Alligator mississippiensis: one gene and its partner. The protein of the gene in region 1 binds, or shares a complex with, the protein of each later gene. Links are inferred from orthologs where the notes say so. Each region holds a gene or a part of one and is shown on either strand. Other genes may lie near its edges.

The links.
Region 2: the proteins of NMUR2 (region 1) and NMU are in contact, whole or in part, in a cryo-EM structure (PDB 7XK8), measured with the Homo sapiens proteins. The link is inferred for Alligator mississippiensis from reciprocal best matches to the Homo sapiens genes NMUR2 and NMU. Residues at the interface, in NP_064552.3 of Homo sapiens: Ser42, His43, Gly98, Glu102, Glu105, Met106, Trp107, Arg108, Asn109, Tyr110, Pro111, Thr123, Phe126, Glu127, Asn181, His185, Pro199, Ser201, Thr203, Cys204, Val206, Tyr213, Phe284, Arg288, Phe291, Glu295, Trp297, Ser298, Glu299, Ala302; in NP_006672.1 of Homo sapiens: Glu146, Phe152, Ala153, Ser154, Gln155, Gly158, Tyr159, Phe160, Leu161, Phe162, Arg163, Pro164, Arg165, Asn166.

What each region holds. Positions count from the first base shown.
Region 1 is NC_081832.1:76,086,935-76,098,017, reverse strand, and holds the start of NMUR2 (neuromedin-U receptor 2), read left to right. Parts: upstream 1-6,937; 5' UTR 6,938-7,117; coding exon 7,118-7,837; intron 7,838-11,083. UniProt on the Homo sapiens protein: Receptor for the neuromedin-U and neuromedin-S neuropeptides.
Region 2 is NC_081825.1:60,616,087-60,626,608, reverse strand, and holds the start of NMU (neuromedin-U), read left to right. Parts: upstream 1-5,891; 5' UTR 5,892-5,974; coding exon 5,975-6,104; intron 6,105-10,522.

The DNA of each region.
Region 1 (11,083 bases):
CATCATTCCTCATGGAAAAAGAAAAAAAAAGCCCAATAAAAACAAGCATGCAAACCAAAGATACATAGCAAGAAGGACAGACACATTTCTTGCCATTTCCAGGGTCACCTTGAACAAGAGGGATGGAGTTTGTATCATTTCCGAATATTACATGTTTGGGGAACATGCTCCTCTCCAGTTTCCCAAGGACACAGAAACACCAAAGAGGAATAAAAGTAATAACAATAATGATATGTTAATGTTTTTTTTACCAAGCATGTGCTGGTTTACAATCCCTGAGGGATGCTTACATGTCAAAGGTCTTGCATGCCTTTGCAGAGGTCCAGCAAGCCTACAATTGTGACCAAATGGCTTTTAGTTTTGAGAGGATTTTGTACGAAAAAAGTCACTAAGTACATGAAACAGCCCTGAATAAATCTCCGAGCACAATATTGGTGAGCTTCTAGGTGGTTGTGAGCACCCGGGCTTTCCAAACAGTGTACACGGTTGCTCATCTTGCATTTCTATTGATAAGGTGCGTGCCGTTGAAAAGACCTTGTGGTCTTAGCCCGTATGGCTACGGGATTGATGAACCATCCATGTTTTCTGTACGTGTTTAGCAGCTTACACAATGTATTAGGACTAGAAGCTTTCAGCTTATTTGCTAAATGATTCTTGGCGGGGTGGCTGCTGGTGCATAAAAGTGGAAAATAAGGGCGGATTATCTGCAGATCTAATAGTGAGGAAAGAAGATAATTGTTACTTCACCAAGGTGAAGAGCATTCAAATCCAATACAGTCTTATGTTGTTAAGTACTCGAGTGGATTAAATTAGCTATAACTCCTAGCCTGAGACTCTTTAGTGCTTTTACAACAAAGTGGGTGTGCAACACATTTTGCTTCACTTTGGCTTGGCTCTTTGGAGAGTGGCGAGGTTGAAGAAAGCAGCCTAATGCACTCGGGACGGCAAAGTATATTTGGAAGTTTGATTTTTTTTTATTCTTTGGAGAAACCATTTAAAAGTAACTCCAGCGAAGGGGAGGGTTCCCCCGCGTTGCAGAAAGACCCACGCGGTAGCAGTTTGAAGTGTTGTACACGCTGCCTGAGATATTCTCAGGCCCGTTGGATCGGCAATGGGGGATCTGATCTACACATCATTTTGGTGCGGGCCTGTCAAAAAAATGGTGGGGAGATCTAGGAATAAAAGTGAATTGATGCCTTCCCCTTTGCTCCACCTTCATCTCCACTGGGTCAAAATGAACCCAGCAGCGCGATATCAAAATGATCGCACGCTGCTTCTAGAAGACTGCGAGTCTTCCTTGGTATTTTATGCAGTCCTTCCGAAATGCACCTCTTTTGCATGTTGATTCGCATCCCGGGGATATCAGACATTGCACACAGCCATGCGAACTAGCAAAGAAAAGCGTGAATAACTGAAAAATAACTTGCACTGAAATGCTCAAAAGTTAGTCCAGATCTGCCTCGTGTAGGAGCTGATTCCACCGGCAGGCCGCGTCATTTAGACGCAATAAATCCAAATGCGTCGTGGCATGTCAAAGGTTTGTAATGAATGCAGAGAAAGCTAGACCTGCGCCCTTGCAATGGGATAAAAAAACTCACAAAAAACCTAGGGAAGGAGCCAAAGATCCTTAATCAACCTGATGTAGCTGAACTCGGGGACTGTAAGCCATAAGTTTTCTCTGTTTCTCAGTAATTTTCTCATTTGCAGAAATGAGTTAGCACACCCAAAGTCTGAGGGTCCAGCACTTGCCAATCTCTGGTTTGAACCTCCTCTCCTGCACTCCCACGGAGAGGAGATCGCTGAAGGCACCGGGCTGTTTAACAGACAAAGATACACAGTGACCCGGGGCTAGAACTGGAAGTTGAAATAATTCCCATTGGAAATTAAACACACTTTCGGACCAGCAAGAATAAATGAGCGTTAGAACGGCTTGCCAAGGGTTGTGACAGATCCCACCTCTCTTGGAGCTTCTCATTCAAGACTGGATGCTTTTCTAAAAGATATGTTCAAGTTAATTAGGCTTGATTTCATCACGGGATGAAACCCTGTGACCTGAGTTATGCAAGATTAGATCATCACAGCTGTCCTGTCTAGCCTCCACAGGCCAGACTCAGAGCTCATATCAATCAGAATAACTTCATTTGCTTATTGATTGATAGACACTGGCTAGCCGTGCGGCTTTATGACTCAACCTGATTTTATCCACATTTCCCTACAACTGGAAGTTGCTCAAACTTTTACTCTCACTGATGGGTACTCTAAAAACACCTGTATTAAATATCTAACTATCATGTATTAAATATCTAACGATTTTACACTTCGCTACACCTTGGATGGCTGTGCTAGGTCAGGGAACAAAGAACCACTGTTAGCTCCTGGTAATGAAGGGGCTGGCACCTTCCCACAAGCTCATCGTCCGTAGAGAGGACAGCACTTATGATGGAAGCAAGACCTACGTGTCCGGTGCGTCTCAGCTGGGTTTCCTGCTGCTGGTTCGATCTGTCGTTCAGTTTGCTTCGCTGAAATGTATGCTCCGAATTGCCAGCTTTCAACATGAACTCTTGTCACAAGTATCTAATAACAGGCATCCACTTGGAAACAAAAAGTGAGATCTTGGTGTGTGCCCCCCCCCCGTGAAACATGCTGCACGGATTAAACAAAGTTGAAGAAAGGAAAAATGGGGTTTGTTTCCATTTTGTGTGAAAAGGTATTTGGAAAGTGCCTTGATGCCAACTGCTGAAACTTCCTTAGCCTGGCGAAGGGTTTTTGAACCCGAAAGCTTGCTTAATAACTATTCTCCAACTATTTGGGTTGGTCCAATAAAAGATATCAAATTCACCCAAGGAACCTTGTCTCTCTTGATTAGCCTTTGGTTGTTGTATGTGATAACCAGACCTGAAAACATACAATCATAGGACATGAGGATTGGGAAGGACTTCAAAGCAGGACCAGCCCCAACTACATCATCCCAGCCAAGGCTTTGTCAAGCCAGGGCTTAAACACCTCCAAGGATGGAGATCCCACCACCTCTCCGGGTAACCTGTCCCAGTGTTTCACCACCCTCCTAGTGTGAGAGGTTTCCCTAATATCCAACCTCAACTTCCCTTGCTGCAGCTTGAGCCCATTGATCCTTGTCCTGCCATCTGCCCCCACTGAGACCAGTCCAGCTCCATCCTCCTTGCAAACCCCCTGCAGGGAGGTGAAGGCAGCTATCAAATCCCACCTCGGTCTTCTCTTCTGCAGACTCAATCAGCCCACTTCCCTCAGCCTCTCCGCACAAGTCATGTCCCCCAACCCGCTCACCATTTTCATTGCCCTCCACTGGACCATCTCCAATTTGTCCACAGTGGGGGGCCACAAATGGACACAGGACCCCAGTGCTTGTTGCAAGTTTAACTGTAGACAGGACTCAGTGGAAAACTTTGAGAAACCAATTTAATTGCATTTCTGTCTCTCTCATCCTCAGCACCTGGTCTCAAGGGCAGGAGCTGAGTTGCTTAATCAAAGCAAGACAAAGTTTTGCAGATGAATGACTGACCAGTGAGGGGAAACAATGGCTTTTTTATTAGTTATTATTTCAGGAATAGCTCTTGTTGTGTTTTGGCCCTGTGATACCACTCTTTTAAGGTAAAGTTGACCCAGTACTCACCATAATCTGAGCACAGTATGGATTGAAGAGAATAAACACAGGAAGGAAGGACAGTAGACCCAGAAAACATGAGCACGGACAGGTAGGACTGGGAGCCGTGGGCATGAATGCACCCTCATGTAACTTTGCCTGTTATTCTCATAGTACAGTAGTTTTCCTTGCTATAATATATATATATATATATATATATATACACACACACACACACACACACACACATATACACACTATATTATATTATATTATATATATTCCTCGCTATATTATACACACACACACACTCATATATATACATACATATATATAAAATTACCAGATTGGTCCCCAGTTGGTTTCTTTTTGTGAATGGCTCAATCAAATTCAATTTTCTTTCCTTTAAAGTTGAGTTCGAGCCAAGTGAAACCTGTTGTTTCTTTTTCATTTTCTTTAAAGGAATTCATGATTCTGTGCAATAATAACAGCAGAAGGCTCTTCTGCAGATATTTTCAAAGCATCAACCACTAATCGCAGGTGTGGGTCAATGCAGATGCTTCCCAAGTTTCCCAGCGAGTCTATGCACCTGTTAGCGCTGCTCCGCCCATGCTGTTATCACCCCATACCTAAAATATCAGAGTGGAACTGCTGGGACCTGTTGATGATAAAAGGCAGGAGAGAGATGGAAGAAATGCCAGGGAAAGATTAAGGTCTGAAAGTCAGGCAAAGGACAAAGAAGCGTTTGATTATCTGCAGCACTGTAGCAAGGTTTTGCTGAACGTCTGATGCTGCTCGTTGTTAGAGACATGCCACTGGAATAAATGGTCTATGAGTTTCATCCTGTATGACGGCTCCTTTGTTCCTACCCGTAAGGAGCCAAGGATCAATTATAATGCCTTCAAAGTAGATGCTGATGTTTGAAATGCAGTGAGACCTTTTTGAGCTGAATACCCGAGGAAGGAAGAAATGGGTCAAAAGGACGCCCTTCCTGTGCGCCAAAAGGCAGAATCCAACAAAACATTTCATTCTGCTGAATGAACAGACTTCAGAGAAGCCGGGAGGTCATTGTAAATGGAGGAGGAACATATTTGACATAAGTGAAGGGTGTGCAGCAGTTATCATTAAGAGCAATTCTTCTGACTTTTATTTCAATGGAGATCTCCAGTTCATTTCTATACAGCTAGCTATTAACAACCTGCCCCTGGGACGAACTTGCCTCGGACTGGGAGGCTTCAGCAGGGCAGATGGGAGGGGACGCCGGCCTCCAGGTGGGCTCAGCCCTTGGTTTCTTTGATGTTAGCGGGGGCAACCTGGAGTCTATCCCAACAGGGAGTGTTATCACGCAGATATCCCCTGGTGAGAAAGACACAGCAAGCTACATAAAGAGAATCAAAAAATACTGGAGGGATAAAAAAAGCGTTGTTTTCCACCTGCCGACAAACTGGGGTTGGGGCACAGCTGTCTTTGCAAATCCTTGATTTTTGTTCTTTGCTGCTTCCAAGGGTTTGTGTTTTGGGGGGTTTTTTTGCATCTGCCATGGAAAAATCTGCTGCCAGCCAGGGACAGGAGACGGGGAGATTGCTCCAAGGTCTGGTCAGCTCAGCAGTTCCCAGGGTGGAAAAAGATGTTTAATCTTCAATCTGCATAAGGTATCTTGGGACTGCCAGAGCAGCTCTAAGGGGTCTTTAACCAGTCTGGAGGGACTGCTGAGGATTTATCTGGCATCCTTTCATGCTAGAAAAGCCATTTAGCCAGCTTCGTGCCACCTGCCGTGCTGCCTGCTAGCCTATTGGCGCACAAGGGTGGGAAGAAGAGGAGCTCCCCACGTCTACCTGCCCAGCTCATCCTTTGCTGCGGAGATTGGTAGAAAACCCCCTTTTGATACTCAGAGGATCCATAAGAGATGTGATGTGATGGGGCTCTGATGCAAGCACCCCCAGTCTGAGAAAACGGCTTACTAAATGCAGGGGTGCAGGTTGTAGCCATGTTGAAACCCGAAAGCTTGCTAAAAACATTTTTTTTTCCAACTATTTAAGTTGGTCTAATAAAAGATTTCATATTCACCCAAAGAACCTTGTCTCTCTACTAAATGCAGAAAGTTTTGCCCTGGCTTCTCTTTCCATGGGTTATTTTAACCCGTATTCTGCTTGGTACGTCATACTACAATGGGGGGCTTTCCACGTTTTTAAAGTGTAGAAACCACCAAATAGTCCTTTTCTACTACTAAAGATCTGAGCCCTTTTTATGCAAAAACAAAGGGTTTTTTAGTTTCCCTACAACCTCGTTTTAAAGAGTTCAACTTTCTGCATTGCAAAATTATATGTGCTAGGGAGGTGGGGGGGGGTTGTAAAAAAAAAAGGAAACCTATTTGAAGCAATTTCTGTATTGTTCAATTCAGCGCTGAATTATACCTTGATAAAGAGCTGCCTGCTCTATTGGGACTCGGCCATTACGTTAGGGAAGTGTATTCTGCCGGATGCGGAAATGTCCCTGAAGGTGCTTGGCTGTTGAAGAGAGGTCGAGACACAGTGAAACACGTGATCAGAAGAAATAGAGAATGGATTGGACCCATCCAAGAGACAGCAAATTTGGATCTCTCCTGAGAAAGAAATGGGTTGGTTTTTATCCAACCAGATTCTCAGGCCAAAGAGATTCCAGTGAAGCAGAGTCAGGATTCAGATTTGGGCTCAAATCCACCATTAGCTGACTGTCTCTTGCCTCTGAGGAAACAAGAAGCCAGTGACAAAAACACAAACTTCCGATACCAATAATGAGTAGAAATAAAACCCTTTTTGCCCCATATTCAACAAAATAACTTCACAGTTTAAAAAAAAAAAATGCCAGCATGCAAAAGTACCCTGGACTAATCTGACAAGTTGAACTACAAAAGCAGATCTCTATGGGGAGAGAGTCAATCTGTTTGCAGATGGCTTTTTGCCATCTAAAGCTGATTACTAAAAATCAACGGGGACTCAGACATCTGCACCTGAAAACCAGGCATTTTCTTTGTGGCTTTTAGCTGGATGCAGCTTCAGGCTCATTTTGTAAAAGCTTTGGGACCCAGGCTGCATTGCTCAGTTATCTGACAAGTCTTGGAGCCGGACTCGTATCCAAGATTTCAGATTCCCAGCTGGATGCACCCCATGTTGCTGGTTCAGTAAATGCATCTGCTGCGAGAGCTGGTCTGAATAGCCAGGATCTCCTTTCTCACCCTAGACTCTGATGCACTTAGCTAGCCAATGAATATGTGTGAAAGGAGGGGCTTTCTAGCCGACTCCTCACAAGGGAACAGCTCTTACAACGGCGAAACCACAACTGAAGCCAGACGTGCATACACCCTGTGTCTCTCAGTATCTGTGTGCTTTCAGGTCTGACCGGACATCCCTCCTTCTCCCTCGCTCCCTACTTCTAAACGTGGGAAAAGTGGCACAGGGAAAACTTGAAGCAGCCTGGAAGAAGACTGGATCTGCATTATTCATCCCAACAGAACCAGCCATGGACTGGATCACCAACGTCTCATGGCTCGATCACCTCGCTGGGAAGGAGGAACCGCTCAGATGGCATTTAAACAGCACTGAGGACTATCTCGCCTTTTTATGTGGCCCCAAACGGAGTCACCTCTTCGTGCCCATGAGTTTAATATATGCCTTGATTTTTGTGGTGGGGGTGGTGGGAAACCTGTTAGTGTGCCTGGTGATCATAAAGCACAGGAACATGAAAACCCCCACCAACTACTACCTCTTCAGCCTCGCCATTTCGGACCTGCTGGTGCTGGTTTTCGGGATGCCGCTGGAGGTGTACGAGATGTGGAGCAATTACCCCTTCCTCTTCGGGCCCGTCGGCTGCTACTTCAAGACGGCGCTCTTTGAGACGGTCTGCTTTGCCTCCATCCTGAGTGTCACCACGGTCAGCATGGAGAGATATGTCGCCATCCTCCATCCTTTCCGGGCCAAGCTGGAGAGCACCAGGAAGCGTGCGCTGAGGATCATCATTGTCCTCTGGGTCCTCTCCGTCCTCTTCTCTCTCCCCAACACCAGCACTCACGGCATCTTGCTCCAGCGCTTCCCCAACGGGACGCTGGTCCCCGGCTCTGCCACCTGCACCGTGGTCATGCCTATGTGGATCTACAACTGTATCATCCAGGTCACTTCCTTCCTCTTCTATGTGCTGCCTGTGGCTATCATTAGTGTCCTCTACTATCTGATGGGGCTGAAAGTAAGTCCTAACTGAATGATGCCTTCCTTGCTTCTCTCTGTAACTTTCTTTCTAGCTCAGCTGCCTTTAAAAAGGTGATTTAACCCTTTTGAGGCAACAGCTGCTGTCCTTCCATCAATTGAGAAGGGAACCCATTGAAAACAACCTCCCTTGGGAGCAAAGGACCAGATTCACCCCCTGCTACACCACCAGCTGGGGGTAAATACGGCCTAATCTATGTGTATCATTTTAGTTCTTACTTCTGCGTCCCTGTTGAGGTGCTACATTTATTTTTTGTAGGTTTTTCAGGTTCTTGGCTCAAAAGGGGGTGTAAAAAGAGTAAAAAGTAGGAAGATTGAAAAGCTTGCCTTTCTTTGTCTTGTGACTTTAGCATTTTCATTGCATTCTCCTGCTCCTGCTTTCTTGGGCGGGCGGGCAGGCGGGCAAGTGATATGAACACTACTCGATCATACGCTTTTGTTAAAACTCACTTCTGAAATAAGCTGTCTTACTGCTGCAAGCACAAAATAATGAATGAGTCTTTTAAAAGTAGTGAGACGTGCTATAGAGCCATTTGCCTTCCGCGCAGCCTTTAGAAACCAGGACTGCTGGCAATGGGAACTGAAATAGAGATACAGGAGAAAAACAACCTAGGTTATACTGTATGTAACCAGCTTTTTTATAGCACTGTTGTGAACTACTCTGCTAAAATATTGTGGGGCTGGATTGGTTTTGGGTTTTTTTTTTCTGGGTATGGTTTTTAAAACGTCGGTACTAAGCTACGCTGCTCAGAATGCAACTTTGCAGAAGCGAGGTTTGCTCCCTTGCAAAGAAAGGGCAGGGAGCTGCAGGGATACCTGGTCAGAGAAGCAAATCAAGTGCTACAATCAGCTGTCACATCTGTATTGCCTCGTTAATGTGTTATCTGCTATTTAGTGCCACTTCACACAGGAGAAGAGGTGCCTAGGAGTACCTATGATTGTAGGTGAATAACTGAAAAACTACGGCAAACAAGAGATCTTTCTGAATGGATCAGGTTCCCATAAGCAGCAATTTATGGACTTAGATATAGATTCAAACAGCAAATTATGCACGGCTTAACCTAAAGGGAATGAAGGAAAGCATCACTTTTATCTTCACTGTTCAATTATGAACTGAAAAAACCTAGAGCTGGGTATGAAAAGCCTTTGCTTCAGGTAGGCGGTTGTAGCTGGTCACCGTTGCCCAGGTTTTCCGAGTTCTCCCTGCAGAAGAGATGCTACGTCGGTGCCAAGTCACAGCTCCCACTCTCAGATTTCTGAATGAGACCCGACATCGATCCTGCCCAGTCTCATCATCGTAAAGGCTTGGATGACCTTTCATTTATGCCTGCTTACTCTGCTTTATTCTCATAATGCACTCCCAGCTGCAATGCCATTGGCTTCAGCACAAGTAAAGGGGTAAGGCTGTTTAATTTTTAAATGGAAGTGATGAACAAACAGCAGTTAGCTCATTTTCAATCGCAGGCAATTTATATCAAAGCAGCAATGAGCAGTCCTGGGCTCGTCTGGGCATCTCGCGCTGTTTAAACCTGAATTGCAAAACTTCAGCGTTGACCCTGCAGTTGAAATCTGGAGCCAGGGACGTTTTCTTTCCATCCCAATAGTCCAAGCCTGGGCTTTGGGGAAAGAGGGATTGGTAATTGCACTTCCTCGTTTCAGCCCCGACAGAACCTAAATGCCCAGCAGCACCCTCTGGCATTGCACCGCAGGGAGAAGCAATTAGGAGCCGTTCAATCTCTGACAGGGCAGCAAGACTGCACTTAAGACTGCAGAGTCCAGCTTGTGTTCAGAGTCAATGGGATTTGTCTCCTGGATCGTGCAATTCCAGTTCAGTAGACTAGACTGACATCAAGAATGCCCCTAAACCACCTGGGTTTGCATCTTCAGTCTTGCTAAGGCATGTGCTACAGAGAACTCGAGCCATTATTGCGGAGGAGAGGAGAGGAATCAGGTAGGGGCTGTTCTGGCCAGGTGTTACTCACCTCCTTATGGATGCCCTCAAACTAACAGCTCATAAAAAAGATCCCGTAATGACTGCACAAGGATGTCTGTGTGCTTTCATGCCTGTAAGGCTCAGAGATACAGGAACAGTCTTTGAAGTACCTATATGGCCACCATCACTACAGCATCCAGTGGGTGATGGGCAGTGAAGAGATTTCCCATCCCAGAAGTTTGGAGATTGAATAAAAGAATCCCCACCTAGAATCAGGAAGGAAAGCCTTTGGATCAGTGAGCTTATGCTGAAAAATACCATCCTGAGTTTTATGACCCTCACTTTACTGATGAGGAGCTGAAATCCAATGAGATGTAGGTGACTTCAAGGTGTGGAGGTGGAAGCTCTCTGCTTTTTGTTGGCCAAGACAGTGCAGGTTTTCTGGAAGAAGCAAAGAAGGGCGTGAGCTCGACATCTCACAGCCATTCAGTGACTGGCCTCCCTGGTAAAGTGGAAACAGGAATAGTAATTCAGATGTGTTGTATTATGGAGCGATTCCTGGGGAACTATGGGGACCACCACACGTTTCACAGGACATCAGGTGACAATAATTTTCAGCTACGGTCAATTGTGTTGGATTCAAACTGAACAAACAGATAGAGATGGCTTTGTATGTCTTTACCAGCCCTCAAGAACCGTCCAGAGTACACATGAGGACATCCTGCCTTTCTTAACATGTTCCTGGAACAATAAAGGGATGGAAAATGACCTGGAGAAACTCTCCTTAAAGGGAGAACATTTCTATTTTGCATTCAGTCCTCAACCTGCCGGCTGATGCTGCCAGTTGCCCTTGTGAGGACTGTGATAGACATCTACCCAATAGCTATTAGCACACACTACACCAATTCTTCTCCCATAGACATTTATAGGTAAGACCTGGAAGATGGCAGAGTGCACCCTCAGCAAGCGTGCAGATGACACCGAGCTGTGGGGAGTAGCAGATACGCTGAAGGGTAGGGCTAGGATTCAGAGGGACCTAGACAAATTGGAGGATTGGGCCAAATGAAATCTCATGAGGTTCAACAAGGACAAGTGCAAAGTCCTGCACTTCGGACGGAGCAATCCCATGCACCGGTGCAGGCTGGGGGTGACCGGCTGGGCAGAAGCTCTGCAGAAAAGAGCCTGGCGGTGATGGGGGACAAGAAGATGGATAGGAGCCAGAATGTGTGCCCTTATTGGCAAGAAGGCTACCGGCATCCTGGGCTGCATCGGTAGGAGCGGTGCCAGCAGATC
Region 2 (10,522 bases), on another chromosome or scaffold:
TGATTTGGCCCAGGGGTTTTGAAAGGGTAAAAGATGATTGGAGGACCTGGGATTCCCTTTCCTCACCAATCAGGCCCCAGAGACTCATGCTCCATGTCCCCTGATTGGCCCCTTGGGTCACCAGGAGGGGGATAAAAAGGGCAGCGCAGCTGACTCAGGAGAGGTCAGTGAGGGACCACAAGGAAGGAGTTTCAAAGAGTTGGCAAAGAGCTGGGCTAGCAGGGCAGGAGCAGTTGCCCCAGAACAACCTGAAGGAGTGGGACCTGCAGGCAGCAGTTGGACCCTCAGCAGCACAGCGTGTGGCCAGCAGGAGAGGCTCCCCACTGGGCTCCAGGATCCCCTACAAAAGACTGTGGCCAGCAGGAGAGGCTCTCTAGCTCCAGCAACGATCTGAGCAGTGACCTGAAAGGTTCCCAGCTCTGCTTCCAGCTCCTCCAATAAGAGGCAAGGCAGCTCAATGTGAGGCCGGGGCTCCAGGATGGTCAAGTCCCCCTAACAGTTTGGAGCAGCTCAAGCACTGTTGTTTGTGTGATAGAGTTTTTGCCTACCATGTGAAAGATTTGAGTTCAAGTCCCAGATGGGGTGAGTGCAGTAGCAGAGAGAAATCTTTGTTGCAGTGGAAAAGGGTTTTCCCCCTTTCTCCCCCTCCAGGTACCTAGGCCCTATATTCCTTGTCATTTGACAGTTTGTATTTTGTGCCTTTTATATTTCACCTACCAGTATTGTTTGTTCTGCTGTTTGTGTTTTACATTTTGGTTAACCCTGTCTTTTGTCAACTGGATGAATATTTCTATGATTGTAAGTGTATAACCTTTGTTGAATCCTGCCCCTTCGGGGCATTGTAGTGTTCCCTATACCCCTCTGGTTTATACTGGTTATGTTCCCAGCATTGTTCCCTCATTAAAAGGTATATGGTTAAGTCCCCATTGGTGGTCTGGCTCTGCTCTATAGGGGGAGGAGGATCCCCACACCTCCCACAGCGCTTGTGCACCTGCTTTGAGCTCTTCAATTGTAGAGGGGGTACCGCTTGGAGTACCACCCGGGTTGCATATATAATTAAATAATTCCAGTAGGGACTGAATCTACTCCACTCATGTGTGCCCACATGTGTTCTCTCCTGCTTAATGAACACTTAATTATTTTTAAAAAACCAAAACAAAACAAACTGCTCCATGGCTGAAGTCCCTGCTCCAAAATAGACAAAGTGGGGATCTTACAACTTTCCCCAGGTAACTGCGTTTACTAGGAGCAGATTCAGAGCAGGTGCACTGGCATGGTTCTACCTCCTTTTCCACAGTGTAGCCCAGTGGCTCTGGGCACCTGGGTCCCCAGAGGAGTCTGGACTACATCACAGGTCCCTCAAGCAAATAGAAACCCCACTCTCACAGCACCCTGTCTCTTTCTCCCTCATGCTCAGTGGCCCCTCCCTGAGCTGCTTCTGTCCCACTTCAACTAGGGCTGTAGGGAGTGACTGTGCAGGCAGTTGGGCTCAGCCAGGGAGAGTGGCAGCAGTGGGAAGTTTCCCTCTCCTGTGCTGCACCTCCCACCCCACCCCAGGTGTTCCCCACCTGCCTGGGAAAAGGCTTTCAGCTGAAGTGGAGCAGGAGTGGCTGGGACAGCGGCAGCAGTGGGTGTGCCTCTCCTTTGTGCCTCCAGAGGCGTAAGTAGAGAGGACAAGAGGAATATGGGATGGGAAAGAAGGTGCCACTGAGAAAAAAGGGAAAGGGAAGGTGTGCCGAGAGCAGGGGGGTGGGAATGGTGAGGAGAAGGATTTTTATCTGATTTGGGGACTTGGAAAAAGTCCCTGGCTGTTGCTCCCACAATGTAGTCTGCTTGACTCAGTGTAGGGGATGTGGTTGGGAGCAGGGAAGAACAGATACTTCTGCAGGGTTGGTCACTGATCCCACATGCCTAGGGTGACCATAATAATTTGAAGGAAATTTGGGATGGGGGACACCAGAATATGTGCAACTTCCCCTCCCCACTCCCTCTCCCACCCTGATCCTGTGGCTCTCAGGAGCAGGGCTGGGCAGGACAGCACAGAGCACACTCACCCACCCACCCACCCACTCTGCAGCTCCCAGAAGTGAGCAAGACAATGTGCGTGTGTGTTTATGCACATATACACATGACCTCCCAGCTCCCAGAAGTAGGGCCAGGCAGGATAGCGCAGCATGCGTGCACCCGTGCACACACACACACACACACATAGACACACACACATGACCCCACACCTCCCTGCATGCACCCCTCCCTTCACCCTGACTCCACTGTGCAAGAGACTCCACTTGCAGCTCAGAGGAGTTTGGACCAGGGAGCAGCTCATTGGCTGAAACAAAACTGAAGCAAAAATTCTTGATTGGCATGAGCCCACCTGCACATGCATGGCTCCTCAGTCAGGAGTTGGCATATAGTTTCATAGTAGGTAGGGTCAGAAGGGACCTGAGCAGATCATCAAGTCTGACCCCCTGCCATGGGCAGGAAAGAATGCTGGGATCAAACGACCCCAGCAAGGTGTCTATCTAGCCTCCTTTTGAAGACCCCCAGGGAAGGAGCAAGCGCCACTTCCCTTAGAAGTTGGTTCCAGATGAGGCTAGGTTTGTGCCAATCTGGGACTTTTGCTTCAATTTTCTCCAATAGCCAGAATGCTGAGATGACCTCTGAAATCCGGGACTGTCCTGAGCAATCTGGGATGTATGGTCACCCTACGCATGCCCTCTTTTCAAAATCCTATTTTTTCCAAGTTTTCCAGTATTAATTTGTGGAACTTCTCAATCAGAATGAATTTGTACCTTGAGAAAGATCCTTCAAAGTCCACAGATGTAACAGGGCAAAATTTGAAAGCAGGAGTCAGCATTGCTGGTACTATTTCTGGTAGTTCCAGATCAGTACCATCCAAGTAACTCTTCACCACTACCAGTGCTTCATATCCATAGTTCCTCTTCAAAAGTCTTTGCAGCTTGTTTCTCATTCATTGGCTTATATCATGCACAACAGACTTAATTTTTTCAACCCCTTTGATTTTGTCAAGTTAAATCATATTGAGAAGCCCCCATATCTCAAGTTTCTTGATCACCTGTGGTAGAGCAGAAAAGTGTGCATGAACCATTTCAAGATCCCTCTTGACTGTAGAGCTGTCAAAAGTCATTTGTGTTACTGTGATGGAGGCTGTCTTGCTGGCATGGGCTCTGGTGATAGGAGCTTGTCAGACAGAACTTCTTTGTAGTTCTGTACTGTCAGTGGTACCTTTGTGAACACTTTTTTTTAACTCTTGACACGATGGAGTAGACAGATGGAAACTCAAATCTAACTTGTTTGGCAACCCAATTGAAGCCATGCACCAAACAGGCTAAGTGCAGTTGGTGCAAATAGTGACATTGCTGTTGCTACTTTCAGCATATAGGCTGCAGCACTGAAAAGCAGAAGATGTGAGTTCTCTTCACTGATGGCAATAGAGTTTGGCCCTTGGAAACTAATTTTTTTTTTCAAACTGCAAATATATGCTTTTTATGTATCAACATTACTATTATACACCAACCCCTCAATATGTATGCATATGCACTATAAAGCATACATATGTGGAGCTTTCCTGATGCAAATAATGTTTTAGTCGGAGTTCTGATAGCCTACATACCCAGGAAAAGAATATGTGTTTTCATTTAAGTCTCACATTTATTAATATCAGGCAATTCTAATAAATGGTAGCGAAGTGCAAAGCTTGTATGGATGCCATGATGCTCAAGTTTGTCTAATACAAGATATCACATCTACCCAAAGAACCTTGTCTGCCTCTGTCCTTAGACCAACACAGCTACAACCAAAAGCCCTGCACAATCAGACATGCTCAGGTCACCAGCACAGTAGCTTTAGCCATGCAGGAAACATGCATACATGCAATTTGATTCTAATAGCTGGTGCAAAAAAGCACGTATTTATAGAATATAGTTTCAGATGTTGATGCCAATGTGGTGGATTCCATTAAGTGAGATTCTAATAAACCATAGTAAGTGTATGGAGGTAAACTTTGAGGCATTTACTTTACAGTTTTTTTATGCTAACATGAACAACTAGTTGTACTGAGATTCTAATAACAGGAAGATACTAAATATATACAAGGTAAAAGCTGTATAGGTTCAAGCAGAAGCCTTGCTAACCACAATGCATGGTCTTCTAATCCATAGACTACATACCTTTCAGTTGTTCTACTTAATTGTTAGATATCTATTGCTTTTTTCCCTCCATTACTTCTCTAGTAACAATAGAAGCAATTGCCTTAATTGCACTTATTGCCCTTTGACAACCTATTTTTAATTGTTTAGAATTTTCCTCATCCTCCTCTTTTGGGATGAAATTAACCAACACTGGTTAATTTTCTCAGAAAAGGTCTCTTCTCAAAATTTTCAGAGCAAAAATTGTCACAAATGATCAGTCAGTTGTGTTGCACAAACGGCTAGTTTCATGCCCCTGGAGGCTTTTCCAATACACCTCAAGGAGAGAGTCATACACACTCAGGCCGGGTCCAACTCGAGTTTATTTGTTTGCAAACAGATCGACCAGGGAGCTGAGTCGCTCAAATCAGAGTCGACCTCAAACTGTGTCTGAAGCTTTTTTTTATAGCCAACGTAAACAATAGATTTCAACGTGTCGTGCAATTATTGGCAGACTTAGCATTACGTCTTGCATCGTATGTCTTAGCAGTTACATGTTTTATGACGGTTTACATACATGTATCATTTACATCTTAAATCCCCTCCCAGGGGCAGTTCTTAAGCCCCTCTGGTCATCCTTTGGTCAGGGTAAAATTTCTTTGCATCAACATTTTTCCCTGTCCCTCTTTGCTTATCTCTTATTTATTGCATCCGTTCCTGGCTCCGTCTGCAGAATTTTAGTTCTACTCGTAAATCAATTGTTAGTCTACTTGTCTTAGTGATAAGTGTGGAAGCGAGAGTAAAAACATGCGGAGTGCATAAGCAATTACAAAAGCAGGGTGTATAGATTATGCTGTATTTTTACCACAGTTGGATTACTCGTGGGCCTCTGGTTAAAAGCCTACCCATAAAGCATTCCTGAACTGGGGACTAAGGATCTTAACTCTGACATCCTTGTTTTCCCCAGTCTTTGTAAGAAAGGGTTAAGGCAGGGGTTTCAAGCACATCAGGCCTCACTGGTTGGAAGAATACCCTGGGGCTGGTCCATGGGCTGGATCGGACCTATGGGTCAGATCAGCCCTACAGACCAGCCTTGTGCTCTAGATCTTGGACTGGCCACAGAAGGTGCTGTGTGTGGTGCAGTTCTGCTTCATGCTCTGGGGCATAAACTGGAGTGGGCATTGCGTGTGCTGCAGGGGCCATCCGGTGTGCCCCACATGCTGCCAGCAGGTCAACTCTGAGACCAACTGGCAGCAGTGGGTACTGGATGATGATGAGACTCTGCGGGCTGGCTCTGGCCTGCGGGCTGTATCTTTGACATCCTTGGGATAAAGGACACTTTATCGCAGATGCCAAGGATGGACAGCTCCAGAAGAAATCGTTTTACAGTCAGTCTGAAACCAATCCCTGTTGTTTCAGGGCTCCTTCACATGCACATGCACATGCACATGCACACACACTCTCTCTCTCTCTCCCTCTTGTTTTAGGGCTCCCTCTCTCTCACCTCTCCAGTTGTTTCAGGGCTGGTTCTCCCCTCCACTTTTTCAGGGCTGGTACACACACACACACACACACACACACAGCCTGTTGTGTTAGGGCTCCTCTGTCACACACACACACGCACCCCTCCCTCCCTCCCAGCTGTGTCAGGGCTGGCACGCGCAGACCCGGGGCTGTGGCGGGCGGGGGAGCGGGGTGACGCGGCCCTGAGTCCGGGGGAGGCCGCCACGTGTCCCGGAGATTTAAAAGTTTGGGAGGGAGCGCGCCCGGCCCGCGCTGCAGGCTCCTCTCAGCTCCGGGAGCGCACGGGCCAGCCGAGCCGGACCATGCTCCGCACCAGCCTCTGCCCGCAGCAGCAGCCGCCCGCCGGCCCGCAGCGCAGCCCCGGGGACGTGCCGGGCGCCGCCGCGCTGCTGCTGCTGCTGCTCCTCGCCTCCTGCACGGGCGCCTGCCGAGGTGAGCGGCGAGGGCCGGGGGCAGCGGGGCCGGGGCCGGGGCAGCGCTGCGGTCGGGGCCGGCCGCCTCCGCTGGCGCTCGGGGCGCGGGGGCAGCTCCCGCTTAATACCCGCCGGTGCCTTGGCTTCCCTTCGGCACAGTCTCACGCCTTTTTCATTCTGGCTGGCGAAAGAAATGATGCCTGAGACGGTCTGTGAAGTTCTTGCTGGCAGCAAAGAAATGAGAGGGGGAACTTCTTGTTTTCTTTTGAGCAGAAACCCGGGTATAGCAGCAAGCGAGGAGTGAAGTACTGGTTTCTATATTACTCTTCTAGCAGTCGGGGGGGGGGGGGGGATTGTTGCGTTTAAACTTGAGTTGTTTTCCTTTTCCAGGTCCAAAAAAAATCAACTGTTTTGCAATCTGGCTTTTATTTGCAATGGGTCCAACACTGAATTGGAGAATTAATGTAATCAACTCTTATGAATCTCCATTTCCTTTATAAAGGCTAGTAATAGAATCACAGAAAATGCAGGTTGGAAGGCACCTTGGGAGGTCGTGTAGACTGGGGGTTCTCAACCTGTTTTGTACCAGGATCCACTTACGAACATCACTGGCTGGCCCCAACCCAGCTCCCCTTACTCCTGACCCGCTGCTCCTATCCCCAGGCCCCAGTGTGTGGGGCCTGGGGGGCCCCAAACAGCCCCTCACAGGCTGCAACTCTGCCAGCCTCCAAGGGGAAAGCCAGGGTTTCCCACATTTTTTCCCTGTAACGGAGAATCCATTTTTAAAGTTTCTTGGTCCATTTTAAATGTTTCTTCCTGACCCTTTCATATATTCTTGTGACCCACTTTTGGGTCACGACCCACAGATCGAGAAACACTGATGTAGACCAACACCCCTCCTCCCCCAAGCAGGACCATCCCCAACTATCTCATCCCAACCAAGGCTGTGTCTAGCTGGGTTTTAACAACTCCGAGATTCCACCACCTCTCTGCCCAGACTGTTCCAGTGCTTTACTACCCTCCCAGTGAGTGTTTTTCCTAATATCTAACCTAAACTTCTCTTGCTGCAACTTGAGACCATTGCTCCTTGTTCTGTCATCTGCCACCAGAACAGTCAAGCTCCATCCTCTCTGTAGTCACCCTTCAGGTAGTTGAAGGCTGTTGTTAAATCCCCTCTCAGTCTTCTCTTCTCCAGACTTAAGTAAAATGATGTTGTAACTAAATAAATGGCATTTTAGTAAAAACAGAACTTATGTTATAGACAGATAGGTAGATAGCATTTCCTATTCTATCAGGAGCTTTACAACATCATTGCAAGCGTAGTTATTAACTCCTTGCAGAGTAACCTCATACAATAATGCATTACATATTGACTGTTTTTGCTTTGTTTGTCTTGCTTGTATGGGAGTTGCTCTTTTACCTGTGACTGTGATATTTAAGCGCCATCAGAAAGTAGCAGGGTCTAAATATTTTACCTCACTAAAGAGCATGCTTTTAAAAAGACCAAAAAAAATCTTTGAATTTACACTGTTACCCATAGATACTAGAACCAAATCTGAATGTCTGGAATATCCACAGTGCCCCAGAAGTTAATGTTTGATGCTGCTATTTCCTATCAGAGGGATCCACTTTTAATGAAGCGATATTTACTTGCCCTTTTAAAGGATTAGGAATACAATTCTGCATGGGTCTGATGCTCTCAATTCCCATTTATTTAAACTGCTGAGAATTGTGGATCTTCAGGGAGTCGGAGGATCAGGCCCATATTGTTGACAGACGGGTCTAGGGTTGCCAGTAACTTCTTAAAATGATCTAGAGCAGGGGTAGGCAACGTTTTTTGGCTGGAGTGCTGAAAAACCTACAATGCCTACCTTGGAAGGTGCCGACGTGCCAGCAAGCCAGAAAAACAAAATGAGGACAGGGGGTACATGGCAGGATGCTCTGCTTGTGCCCCTTGCCCCCACCCAAAGCCCTTGCCTCCCAGCCCTGCTGCCCTGTGCCCCCCACCCTTGCTGCCCCTTACCCCCCAGCCTGGGCTCTGTGGCTATCAGCAGTTACCCAGAGCCTAGGCCAGCTGCAAACATCTGCTGCCTCTCCACCCTGGCCCTGGCCTCAGCTGCCTCCCAGCCCCAGACCTGGCCCCTGGCTCTGCGGAGGCAGCACATACCGGCAATGCTCCCTGTTGTGCTGCCCTCACCTCCTGTGTGCACAGGAGCAGCGTGGGCAGCAGCGCAGGGTTGCGCCCCTTCCTGCTGCCCCCACCTGCAGGGGAAGTGTGGCAGGGCAGTGGGGAGCTCGGAGCAGGCAGCTTTCTGAGCCCCCTGCTGTGCCCTGCCGCACTGGGTTCCAACGCTGCTCTGCAGAAGCGGCAAGAGCAGCACAGCAGGGAGCATTGCCAGTGTGTGCTGCCTCCCCGGAGCCCAGGTTCAGGTCTGGGGCTGGGAGGCAGCCGGGGCCGGGGTGCAGTGGCAGCAGATGTTTGCAGCTGGCTCAGGTTCTGGGTAGTTGCTGATAGCCACGGAGCCCGGGATGCTTGCAGCAGGACTTCCATGGGAGCAGCCCGAGTTCTGTGGCTATCAGCAGGTACCCAGAGCCGGGGTCGGCTCCGACTGGGAGGCTACAAACAGCTGCCGCCTCCCTGCCCTGGCTCCGGCTCCGGCCCCGGCCCCGGCCCCGGCCCCGGCTATCTCCCGGTCCCGGGCTCCAGGAAGGCAGCAGGTGCCAGCACTGCGCCTGTTGGTCCGAGGGCAAGGAGGCAGCAGCTGTTCGTAGCCTCCCGGCTGCGGCCGGCCCCAGCTCTGGATAGCTGCAGCCAGCCGGGAGCCCGGGCTGTTCCCAGCAGGCAGCTGGGACGCTGCAAACCCTTCTGGGAGCAGCGCGGGCTCCCGGCTGGCTGCAGCTATCCAGAGCTGGGGCCGGCTGCAGCCGGGAGGCTACGAACAGCTGCTGCCTCCCCAGCCCCAACACGTGCTGAGGAAAATGGCCTCACGTGCCATGCTCGGCACGCAGGCCAGGGGTTGCCGACCTATGATCTGGAGAGAGGTTTACATTTCTGCAAGCCTGCTATTCAAAATAAAATGCTATGATAGTTTTTTAATAGAGTCACTTAGTGAAATAGAGCACATAGAATCATATAAATATACCAGTATAAAAATGAACAGCACTTTAACAATCTTTTCTGACAGTATTATTATTATTGTTGTTATTACATTTGCCTCTGTCAGCAACAAAGTAACACACATGTGGTACTTATACAAAGATACTCTTACCAAACATTGTGACTCAAACTGTAAAGTACCAAGAATGACATCTTTTATGTTGCCCCAAGTATACATGCTAAGTTTTCTGATGGCTTCAGCAACTGAATAAAATACATTTTTGGTATCTACACTAGACCAGTGGTTCTCCACCATTTTTGTACCAGGACCCATGTGTGAACATCAATGACCAGTCCCAACCCAGTGCTCCTGACTCTGGACCCACTGCCCAGAACTCCCAGGCCCCAGTCCTCCAGTGTGCGGAGCATGTGGGGCCCAAAGGAGCCCCTTGCAGCCTGCAAGGGAAAAACCACTGTTTCCCATGTTTTTCTCCTTTAAAAGAGAACCAATTTTTCAAGTTTGTTTATCTATTTTTAAAGTTTGTTTGTGAGCCTTTCATATATTCTTGCAACCCACTTTTGGGCCGCTACCCATGGGTTGAAAAATGCTGCACTTAATCACACCCTCACCAGAAGCTGAAGAAAACAATTGTTTCATTCTCTTGTAATGAGAGATTCTGTAACATTACGTTTGGGAGCTTCACTAAATTTAAAACATGAAACTTATCAGTGTATTGATAGATTTCATCTGAGTAGCTGATTGCTAGAAAGAGTTACTGTGTTCTATGATTTAATGTAGTCATATTTTTGTTAGCCTAGAGCCCTAGACCCCTTAACAAGCTGAAATATGAGCGCTTTTGATTAGTCAGTTGTGATTATTTTGAATATGCAAAATATGTTAATTGTTCTCTTGAAGACCATGGACCCAAATCCATTGCAAAATTACTTAAAATCCCGTTCATTTCAGAAGTGGAAGGGAAGAGAGCCTGGTGTCTTAGGGAGTTGAGAAAAACAAGTACCTCATTAGAGAAGCAAAATTTACATGCTTAGGCTGTATATTACTAAATGACAAATTATTTACCTTTTTAAAAAAACAAAGAGCAAGACATTTGATTCCTGGGGCCAAAAATGACAATTGAAAGGGGCACTGGTATAATTCTGCAGCCTTGGTCATGTGACTAATCCCACTGATGACACCAACCAGAATTGGGTACTACAGTGAGGATCAGGATAACCATAGACAAAAACCATTTTTTTCCCAATAAATGTCTAAGACAGGTAAAATACTGTCCGCAGAACAGAGGTGACTTATTTGGAACTTTGTACTTGCATTACTTTCA